Mus musculus: one gene and its partners. The protein of the gene in region 3 purifies or fractionates together with the protein of the main gene of each other region. This does not show direct contact. Links are inferred from orthologs where the notes say so. Each region holds a gene or a part of one and is shown on either strand. Other genes may lie near its edges.

The links.
Region 1: the proteins of Slc30a5 (region 3) and Slc30a6 purify together in Homo sapiens (co-immunoprecipitation; 5 studies listed by BioGRID and IntAct, with this or other methods). This does not show direct contact. The link is inferred for Mus musculus from reciprocal best matches to the Homo sapiens genes SLC30A5 and SLC30A6.
Region 2: the proteins of Slc30a5 (region 3) and Csgalnact2 purify together in Homo sapiens (co-immunoprecipitation; 3 studies listed by BioGRID and IntAct, counting the BioPlex papers as one, with this or other methods). This does not show direct contact. The link is inferred for Mus musculus from reciprocal best matches to the Homo sapiens genes SLC30A5 and CSGALNACT2.

The regions. Positions count from the first base shown.
Region 1 is NC_000083.6:74,409,048-74,412,698, reverse strand, and holds part of Slc30a6 (zinc transporter 6), read right to left. Parts: intron 3,347-3,651; coding exon 3,311-3,346; intron 2,366-3,310; coding exon 2,271-2,365; intron 426-2,270; coding exon 377-425; intron 93-376; coding exon 1-92. UniProt on the Homo sapiens protein: Has probably no intrinsic transporter activity but together with SLC30A5 forms a functional zinc ion:proton antiporter heterodimer, mediating zinc entry into the lumen of organelles along the secretory pathway.
Region 2 is NC_000072.6:118,136,492-118,140,242, forward strand, and holds the start of Csgalnact2 (chondroitin sulfate N-acetylgalactosaminyltransferase 2), read right to left. Parts: upstream 2,650-3,751; 5' UTR 2,532-2,649; intron 2,340-2,531; exon of another isoform or gene 2,135-2,339; intron 2,114-2,134; exon of another isoform or gene 2,022-2,113; intron 1-2,021. UniProt on the Homo sapiens protein: Transfers 1,4-N-acetylgalactosamine (GalNAc) from UDP-GalNAc to the non-reducing end of glucuronic acid (GlcUA). Required for addition of the first GalNAc to the core tetrasaccharide linker and for elongation of chondroitin chains.
Region 3 is NC_000079.6:100,812,916-100,816,566, reverse strand, and holds part of Slc30a5 (zinc transporter 5), read left to right. Parts: intron 1-1,800; coding exon 1,801-1,971; intron 1,972-2,595; coding exon 2,596-2,884; intron 2,885-3,060; coding exon 3,061-3,269; intron 3,270-3,651. UniProt on the Homo sapiens protein: Together with SLC30A6 forms a functional proton-coupled zinc ion antiporter mediating zinc entry into the lumen of organelles along the secretory pathway.

The DNA of each region.
Region 1 (3,651 bases), on a different chromosome or scaffold from region 3:
ACAGAGCAAACGCCCCAGCAAGATCAATCAGAACAAACGGATTCATGCGGGGCAGGAAGATACTGCTGAGTCCTGGGATAAGGCCACACAAGCTGCGGAAGACCAAAAAGAGTTCATTAGTATCCCCGTGACATCAGTGAAAGCATACTGCAGGTGAGGGGCACTGTACTCCTCAGAGAGCAAGGAGGACTCGGGGACAAAGCTTGGCCACTGTGCAGAATTCCTCTGGCATCAGTTAACAAGCCCAGAGAGACCGAGAACTGACCTGAGCAGCTCGTGCAAAGACTCCAGCTGCAGATCTAAGCCCCCATGGTGGAGACTCTTCTCAGAGAGACTCGTTAAATTACACAAGCCAGCAAACTGCAGCGCATCTTACCTGCGGCTAAGGTCTGCCACGTGCTCCTGAAGCCAGCTCGTACTAGCAGCTTTAAGGAGAAAATACTTAAATTATCTATATAGAAAAATAAAACCATCACTGGAAACACAAATTCTTTCATTTTAAAAATAAGTTCGGCAGTGACCATGTAATACGGCAAAGGGCAAACTTTCTCCTCAAATCTCCAGCTTTAACCTTTTTCATGACAAGGACTAAGTCTGAAGCAGTTTCACCTTTGATGCATAGCTGACTGGAAGGAGTGAGTACCTTACACATTACGGTGCTTTTAATGTCACATTTCAGGGATGCAAGATGCCTCTAAGTGGTGGAAGAAAAGGACTGACTCAGGTTGTTCTCTGACCTTTATGCCACACAGTACAGCTCTCCTTGCAAATCTATATTCTTTTTTGTTTTGGTTTTGGTTTTTTCGAGGCAGGGTTTCTCTGTGTAGCCCTGGCTGTCCTGGAACTCACTTTGTAGACCAGGCTGGCCTCAGAAATCCACCTGCCTCTGCCTCCCAAGTGCTGGGATTAAAGGCGTGCGCCATCACTGACACTCATTCTATAACAAGACCATGTTGTAATGAGATCGGCAAGCTCTCTATAAAACACTGGCACGGCACTAAGGAGAAGGCAGTGACACCAGAATATCTACCTGCAAGTTCCAGCTCAGCCTGTGACCAGGAGAGTGGCCTTTGGCAAATGACTTAACCTCCGAACGCCTTGGGGTAAAATGAGGATAATAAAGTCTTTGCTTCGGCGACTATGGGGAGATGAGTAAACACCTGTCACTCTGAACTTCTGACTGATGCAGAGTTTTGTCTTCCTGATACCTGTGGGACTGCTGGGATACGAGTGAGTACCTCAGAAAGCTCTCTCCACTGTCTGCTGTGCTGCTCGAGTCCAGAGGCCTACAGAACATCATCTATCTGTGTCCTGTGTCGAGGCAGCTCTGCGTACCCACTCACGTCCCCATGAGTTAATAGCTAAATCCTTTGCCGGTTAATGAGATTGCAAACATTAAAGGCTCTGAAGAGCATCAGCAGTTTATACGGGCAAAGTTGAGAAACTGCCTAAAAGAGACGCCTTTCATTTGTTTTGTTGGAGGCAGGGTCTCAGTAAGCAGCCGTGGCTGGCCTGTGCCACTGTGTAGCACAAAGTGGCTTGGAACTACAATCCTCTTGCCTCAGCTTCTCATGTTCTGGGACTGTAGGCATGTGCCGCCATGCCTAGATAAACCTGTAGTTGTTCATATATCACCTAGTTCAAAGCCAGCGCACTGGCTTTTATATATTCTTTTCAGTGTTTACTACCGAGATGATAATCTGTACAATCTTCCACATAGACTTCAGTAGCTAGCTTGCAGGGTGGGGAGGGAGGCACATCTTTAACTCCAGCACTCAGGAGGCAGAGGCAGGTGATCTCTAAGCTCAAAACCAGCCTGGTCTACAGAGTGAGTTCCAAGATAGTCAAGGCTAGGGCTGGAGAGATGGCTCAGTGAATAAGAACACTGACTTCTCTTCCAAAGGTCCTGAGTTCAAATCCCAACAACCACATGGTGGCTCACAACCATCCATAATGAGATCTGAGACTCTTTTCTGGGGTGTCTGAAGAGAGCTTCAGTGTACTTACATATAATAAATAAATTAATTAAAAAAAAAGAAAAAAGAAAAAAGAAAAGAAAGTCAAGGCTACAAAGAGAAACCTTGTCTCAGAAAACAAACAAACAAACAAACAAACAAACACTTGAGAACCTTTGGGCTAGCTCTTCCTTCTCTGCTAAACATATTTCTCACAGATTTACAAGTTTATGAAAAAAGAAACCACCAGTTTTTATAAAAATGTTTTTTAATTAACTGTAAACTAAAATGAGCAAATAAAAAAACATAACATACCTTCAGAGACGTAAGCAAAAGGCTTATTCCGAATAGAAAGCATCGTGAACAGGTTGAAAGAAAGGGCCACAAAAGTACCAACTAACAATCTTCCCCTAGAAAGAGCAAAACATCCCCTTCAATGTTTTCTTGATAATTCCAGTCTGTAATTTCATATGTGGAGAGAATGAGGGAAAGAAGGGAAGAGCGATCCACTTTAAGTCGGCCCAACAGAGTCCAGCTTGTTTTCTAGTTACCTAGCTCATGTCTTGCATGCTGCCGCTCCATTTTACACAGGTCTAGACTGGTCTCTTACCATCAACAGTGTTTTCTCATGAATCATTTTACTGCTGTGGGTTTATACAAATGTTAATGGAAGTTGTGCCAACATCCTGGATAAGTCAGATGAGCCTGAATTAACAGGTAAGGCCTGCGGAGTTGCTAAGCAGTGGGAGTTAAGTGCATTCTTTTCTAAAGGCAGCAAGCAGAGATTTGGGGGTTAAATATGAAGTGACAAACACCAGAGGGAGCTGATGAGTGTGCTGACCTCTGAAGATACAAAATCCTTTCTGTGCCACTACAAAGCCCAGAGTCTGGGAACTGTCAAAGACGAGAGGGAGTCCCAGGATTTGGAGGCTCTCTTCCTGAGAGGCCAGTGATAAGATACAGGGCTGTACTCTCACCTCTGATGCTGAACAAAGTAATAATGGAGCAACTGGCCGGGCGTGGGGGCCCACGCCTTTAATCCCAGCACTTGGGAGGCAAAGGCAGGTGGATTTCTGAGTTCGAGGCCAGCCTGGTCTACAAAGTGAGTACCAGGACAGCCAGGGCTACACAGAGAAACCCTGTCTTGAAAAACAAAAACAAAAAAACAACAACAACAACAAAAAATAATGGAGCAACTAGAAATTGGAATCAAAATTAACAGAATTCCCCCCTCCCCCAATAAAATCTTTGGCTGGGGATAAGTGTCAGCAGTAGACTATTTCCCTAGCATGCATGATGCTCTGAGATTAGACAGATCCCAGAGCTACAAGAAATAAATAAATAACCCATCTTACGTGTGTATCTCGGGCTGCTCCAAAAAGCGTTCTGCACTAGAAGAAAGAAAAATACATCAAATTAGTTACATAAGTTATAAAACTATAAACATGCATTACTTACAGTTACTATAAATATATAATTAATCTACCCTAAAGTTCTTAAATCTATTAGTGGTGATGAGGCCAGGAGACTAACAAGTTATTCTCAGTATGCAATGTCGACATTTCTCTACCAAGCCCCCCCCCACTCCCATTTCAATGGCTTGGTAAGGAAGTTTAAACACATGCCAGGCTGAGCCTCTTCCATTCAGATTCACCTATGACTGGAGTTAGTTTTACCAAAGGAAGAAATTATACTA
Region 2 (3,751 bases), on a different chromosome or scaffold from region 3:
TTTATGAATAAACAAAACATTAGCTTTGGAAGCTTATAAAATTATATAAATTTTCTCCATAGTGTAAAATGTTTATTAGGATGTATCTAAGGATGTATCTTCAACAATATTAAGAGTTTTGGTGTATCAATTCACTCATAAACTTCTACACTTCTGCTTTTAGAAATATTATTTCCTTGATACATATTAGGCATCTTCTGTGTGTTGCTAGGAGAGTGGAATCCAGGAGCTGCTAGCACAGGTACCTTTCCACATGCTCTCTAAAAGGTCATACTTTCAGATCATCTCTGCCCACAGAGGAGGAAACCAGAAATTGGAAAGGGAAAGGTTGACCTATGCTTGCCAGTATCCTGTCCTGTTCCCTGATGTCTATCTCTGTCTCTGTAGGTGTGTATGTGTTTATTGGCTGTTCCAGACCTGTGTCTTAGGTATTCTTTGTTACGTTCTGTGTTTCAATATTCCAAAACTAAGTGATTTTGTGTGTGTGTGTGTGTGTGTGTTCGTTCAGTGGGCAAAGCACCTTTCCAAACTTGAGAGTACTAATGTTTAAAACTCAACTTCTTGTATTTGTGCAAATGACATGCTGGCTTCCTACAGATATTTAGTGATTATTGTTCTGTTATTTAAATAACAATACTAATATAAAAAAATCCACATCTGGAACTAACCTTATAATTCAGCTTTACACTTACAGCTAGTACTTGTGGAGTGACAGTGACTATGTCTTGAGCTCTCGATTTTTCTAACCCATCTTTAGTGCTGTCCTTTGGTGCTTCATTTCTCCTACCAGCTACCACACTTCCCCTTAACAACCACTAACTTGAGCAACATGGTTACCTAACTGTTATCAAACTGAACAGTCATATCGTGGCCTGCTCTAACTGACTTGAGGGTAAAAGACAGTTAAATGAAATGAGTCTTTGAGAAGATGGTCACTTGTGCCAATACAAAGTGCAAATAGTAGCTTAATGACTATACATGTGTTTGAGACAGGGTCTCAGGGTATATATTCTTGGCTGGCCTGGAACTCACAGAGATACACTGTCCTCTGCCTCCTGCGTGCTGGGATGAAAGGTGTGCACCACCATGCCTTAACTCATATTTTTAAAACCAACCTTCACTTCTGTATTAGTTAAGATAATCTTTTAAAAAAGAAAGAGTCCACGTTAGTTAGGATGTAATTTTTTTCCTATTGTAGGTCTCAGCCATTTTACATCTGACAGAAATGTATTCACATACTAAGACATTCACAAGAATGTTATAACACCCCTAAAACCTAAAACAAATAATACACAAATCTGGAAGCACACATTCATGAACAGAAGAACAATCACATCACAGAATGGCACATTACACTATAAGAAAGAATTATCAACACCATACCATGATATGAATGATATCATATCAAAAAACACGAACAGTGACTTCCACAGCAATATTCTGAGAATACTATATATTAACTCCATTAACATGAAGCTTAAAATAGTCCAAACTAATGGCTGATGAAAGAAGTCAGAACTCTTAATGGGGAAGCAGGGGTAACCTATTTGGAAGAAGCAGAGCACTATGGGAATGTTGTACAATTAAAATCTGATGTGTGTAGCAGCAGACAAGGTAAGAAGCATGTAATGATTCACAGACAGTTCATTTTCATGCATTTGTTGACGTTTTTTTATATTTTATACCACTACAAAAGGAGTGTAGATGGATAAACAGTAATTTCTTAATTATCTGAAACTAAAGCTGGTTGTTTAATATCAACACTTCTAAGCCTCATATACTGAAAACACAACACCCTTTTTATATTCTTTTAGTCACATAATTTAAAAAAGATAGTAGCAAATATTCCCGAATATTATGCCATAAAACACCTTTTTATTACTTCGGAAATCAGAGGTGCTTTTTTAAATGCACCTTTAAGAGATGGCATTAATCCCCAAGGTATTAAAGGCCCAGGGGCCTTCAGTGGCATGAACTGTCAGGACACTGCATGTACATTTCAAAAACAAGCTAAAGCACACCTTCAGATTTAATGAGGACTTAAGAAGAAAAGCGTTAGATTTGTAACCAAACTGTCATGCCGCCAATGTCATCATCACAAACACAAGTACCGCTGTGGTATTTGACAAATTACCCAGCCAGTTGCTCAGAAATGCAGGAATTTTCTAAACTATCTGGTCCTTCTGACAGTTCTCCGTTTTTGGTTTTTATCCAGGTTCCGGCGATCATCAATTCCTACTCCAAGAGCATCTTTTAAAGGGGAGCGTTTTGTCAGAGGCAGGAGGGCTGCTGCCAGTGGGCGCGTTCAACCCCACAGTAAAAAGTTTAGCCACTCAGCAGAGATGATGACGAGGAGGTTAAAAAAAAAACCTGACACGCAAACCAGCGGTCCCTGGCAGCAGCGGTCTCCAAAACGGGACCAGCCTCGGGAGGGCGCGTCAAGGAAGCGCCGCGCCCAGCGGCGTCCCGGAGGGCTCGTCCGAGGGGACCGGCCGCTGCCCAGAGGCGCGGCAGGACACGGCGGTACTCACCGCGCCCGCCGCTCAGCGTCGCCGCCTCTGGGGACCTGCACACCTGGCCAGCGCCCTGCGCGGGGCCGGCCCGGCGCGCCGCCGCGGAGCACCGCCACTTCCGGCGCGCGCGAGGAAATGAGGGAAATGAGGCTGGGTTGCTGTGGCGCGCCCGCCTCCGCGGTCAGGCCCCGCCCTCCACAGCCAGACTCCGCCCTCCAGGGCCAGACCCAGCCCACCGCAGCCGGGCTCCGCCCTCCACACTGCCAAGTCCCGCCCTCCAGGGCCAGGCCTTTCTCTTTCCAGCTAGGACACGCCTATTCCTCCCTCTTCTGTCCTGTGCCCTGCACAGAAAGCTCCACAGATGACAGTTGATTCATCTAAAAACAAACAAACAAACAACAACTGAGATGGGTGCTCAAGCCCTGTGGGATAAATAGCCTGGGAACATCATGCCTTAGAGACACTTAACTAGACACGCATGTGGCTAATCGTCACATAAGTGCTAACCTGGCAGAGCTGACTAGCGGGGAGGCTGAGGATAGCCAACATGCCTTCTGCTCAGGGAAGATCGGTACTGAACACTGAAGAGGTCCTTACGTGTTTTTACTTAAAATAAATAATTCCATTTGCTGCATGTAAAGTACCGTGTGTGTGTGTGTGTGTGTGTGTGTGTGTGTGTGTGTGTGTGTGAAGTCTAGCCTTTTCAGAAAAGCACACACTGGCAAAGTTGGAAAGAGACTGGATATGCAGTCAGCAAGCCTATCTTAGAAGTAGGTGATCCAGACCGTTAAAGTTTTCAGGATTTCCCTTGTGGCATTAGAGGAGAACATCTGGGCAGAAGATATCTCAACAACTGTCAGCCAATAGAGCCAGCTGTGGTCAGGAACAAAGTGTCTCCCTTGGACAGCTGCTTCTTTAGGACGCACCTTGAAGTCCCCTCAGACATCCATCTTCTCTAGTACAATCACAAAAGACAGTCCACGTGGGTTAGCTGCCTGCTGTCTACCAGCCACAGTCCTAAGTATGAGTGCAGGGAGGCAGGAGAATTCTCTCCTAGGAGACTTGGAACATGGGGACCTTTAGCAAATGGTTAAGTGCCCAGCACTGCTAAATTTCCAAGATAAGGCAAAAATTCTCTAATGTATTAATAAAGTAGATATAAATGGCACCTCACTGAAATCTTAGCGAGCCACGATGCCAGACTCCAGCTTTGGCACTGTTAGTCCAAGCCCACATCT
Region 3 (3,651 bases):
AGACTACATTCCATGCCAAGAGCAAATTAGTATACTATACTGAAAATGGGCAGTCTCCAGATATAGATAAGAATTAACAAGGCCTAGAGAATTTTGGGGTCAGTGACACTACATTAGCCTTGAGGCGTATCAAGAGTTAACTACCCTGAGGCTTTTAACTCTTTGTGTAAAACTCTTGCCTGGCAGAAAGTGCTAATCTCTAATGTAAACATTTATCTGGTCCCTACAAATTCCCTTTGTAGTCACTCCCCTTGCATCTGTGCTAATCTCTAGTGTTATACATTTATCTGGTTCCTTTTGAAGTCACTCCTTTTGCACCTAGAAAAATTCAATGTGCCTTGTTCTGCAATTTATTCTGTATTATAAAAGTCTGATGCTCGACTGGAAAATTACATTCAGATCCAACACCATTCTCGCGTGTTTGGCTGTCTGTCACGCCATCCTAATCTTGCCCATCTACTCTAGAGACTCTTTTCTACTCAGGCATAGGGTCTGCGGCAGGGGACAGGACCTTGTGTAGCCCAGGCTGTCGAGAACCTGATGCGTAGCCAGAGATGACCCTCCTACCTTTACCTCTAAACCTGCATCACAGTGGAGTCTATAATTCTTAAATTTCATTTATACCTAACACATGCTGTTACTCCTAGCACTGAGGAGACAAGAGGATCTCTAATTCCAGGCCAGCCTGGGCTACATCATCAATACTGTCCAAAAACTATATTTAAACTAACTTATCTCAGGGCTGAAGAGATGGCTCAGCCGTTAAGAGCTTTTGCTGTTCTCCACAGGACTTGTTTGATCCCCTGCACCCACATGGCAGCTCACAACCATCTGTAACTCTAGTCCCAGGGGAACCAGTGCACCAGGCATGCAGGTGGTGTACAGACATACATGTAGACAAAACATTGTACACATAACACTTTTTTTTTTTTTTTTTTGTTTTTCGAGACAGGGTTTCTCTGTGCAGCCCTGGCTGTCCTGGAACTCACTTTGTAGACCAGGCTGGCCTCAAACTCAGAAATCTGCCTGCCTCTGCCTTCCAAGTGCTACGATTAAAGGTGTGTGCCACCACGCCCAGTTCACATGACACTTTTAAAACATGAAAATTTATCAGAGCATAATTGTTTCTCAGCCCTACCAAGTACAGAGTGCATAGCTCAGTGATAGGAGTGTTTCCTGTCCTGGGCAAACCAGCACAGATCCTTAGCACTATAAAGTTACGATGCTAAGGTTACTACTAAATACAAAACACTGCCTGTCATTTACATAATTAAATAATTGAGGGTATGGGAAGGGGCTGGGGAAATAGTTCCATTGCTTCAGATATATATTCAAGAATTGAACAATGGCGGCTGAAGCTATGGCTCAGTGGTTAAGAGTGCTTACTGGTCTTACAAAAAGGACCTGTTCCCAGCACCTGAAAACCATCGGTAACTCCAGTTACAGGAGGTCTCTGGCCTCTTCTGCCCTCCGGTGTGTGCACTTACGCTTGTGCACACACGTGCAAAGACTCATTTTATACACACACACATAACACAGTGCAAGGAATGTAGATCAGTGGGTAGAGTGCCTGCCTAACATGTACAGGGTCCTTGGTTCAGTCCTCCATATTAGGAAACAAAGAAAGGCAGACAGATCTCTGAGTTTGAGGTCACCCTGGGCTTCACAGCAAGTTCTAAGCCAGCTGTGGCTGCATAGTGAGGCTCGTCTCAAAATTTTAAATAACGTAAATCTGTAGGGAGATGAGTATGACAGACAGTATGTGTGGTTTTAATGAGACTTTTGTCGTTTCACTCATAGGGTGGAGTACTCTTGCTGGTGCTGGCTTTATGTTGTAAAGTTGGTTTTCATACGGCTTCCAGAAAGCTCTCTATAGATGTTGGTGGAGCTAAGCGCCTTCAGGCCTTATCTCAGCTTGTTTCTGTGTTTCTCCTGTGCCCATGGGTGATTGTTCTTTCTGTGACGACTGAGGTAAGGCTGAGAGTTACTGGTAACAAGTAAAGTGAGTTACTATTGGAAAGAAATTTCAATTCAGACATTTTTTTCAGGCTTTATGGGACAGGTTTTCTCTGTGTGGCCTTGGCTGTCCTGTAATTTGCTCCATAGACCAGGGCGGCCCCAACCTCTGCCTCCCAGGTGCTGGGACTAAAGGCAAGTGCTGCCACCACCACTTGGCTTAGTTCCAAATTTTTTTAATCTAAGACTGACAATGGCTTAAATTATCCTTGCTTTTTCTTTAGTCCCCCCCCCCATTGGAGTTAATTTTAATTGTTTATAAAAGTGTAAGTCAAATACTCTTATATTTGCATATAATTTACATTCTTATGATCCAAAGGCACCTGTGAAGAAAACTCAGTTAATCTTAAACTCAGAGATTTTGGCTACTTATTATTTATAAAATTCAGCAACAGTGGGGGTTTGTTGTTAATACCCTGGAGAACCCTGGGAAAATGTACCACTATTTTGTGACTCTTACATGCTGGCATTTTGTGACTCATACTGAGCCTGAGTATTTCTGTTTGTGTATACGCTGATGAGCTTTGTCTCTGTAGAACACTGACTGTGGGTTGTGGTGTTTGTGTTTTTCTCTTCTAGAGTAAGGTTGAGTCTTGGTTCTCTCTCATCATGCCTTTCACCACAGTCATCTTTTTTGTCATGATCCTGGATTTCTATATGGATTCTGTTTGTTCAGTCAAAATGGACGTGTCCAAATGTGCCCGCTATGGGTCCTTTCCCATTTTTATTAGTGCCCTCCTGTTTGGAAATTTCTGGACACACCCAATAACAGACCAACTCCGGGCTATGAACAGAGCAGCACACCAGGAGAGCACAGAGCACGTCCTGTCTGGAGGAGTGGTAGTGAGCGCTGTGTTCTTCATTTTGTGTAAGCATTTGCCCAAATTTTTATTTTCATTAATCTACTTTTATGGTTTCTGATGTTTAAGCCTTCAGTTTAGAAATTGTTGAGCACTTACAATTTAGTACTCAATTTAGAAAGTGACCGTGTTGGTGGCTTAAACATTCAAAACATGCATACCATTCTCTTTTTTCTCTTTGTAGCGGCCAACATTCTATCATCTCCCTCTAAGAGAGGACAGAAAGGTACCCTTATTGGATATTCTCCTGAAGGAACACCACTCTATCACTTCATGGGGGACGCTTTTCAGCACAGCTCTCAGTCGGTGCCTAGGTTCATTAAGGACTCACTAAAGCAGGTTCTCGAGGAGAGCGACTCTAGGCAGATCTTTTACTTCTTGTGCTTGAATCTGGTAAGATTGTTAAATAGCAGTGCTATATTTTTAAAGCACGGTGTTTTTATTTTGAGAGGATGTGTAATTTTAGTACTTTACAAGTTTCTGCTGAGTTTACATTTTTCTCTAGTTGGTAACAATGATCCTATTCAAACAAGGCAAACAATCTTTGCAGTATTGTAGAAATTCTGTGTTAAATCAGTAGTAGCTTGTAAGAGGCAGAGCTGCCTCGTAATAGGATGTCAGGATATACCACTGATGCTGACATTTTAGAGCCTCTTCTGTTGATTTCGACAGACATACAAATCAAACAACTGCCTTTTAGTTTGTAAAATGCCTAAATCTGGCTAGCTTGCTTACTTATAATCTATATGAAATACAGTTTCCAGCATTAAAGTTT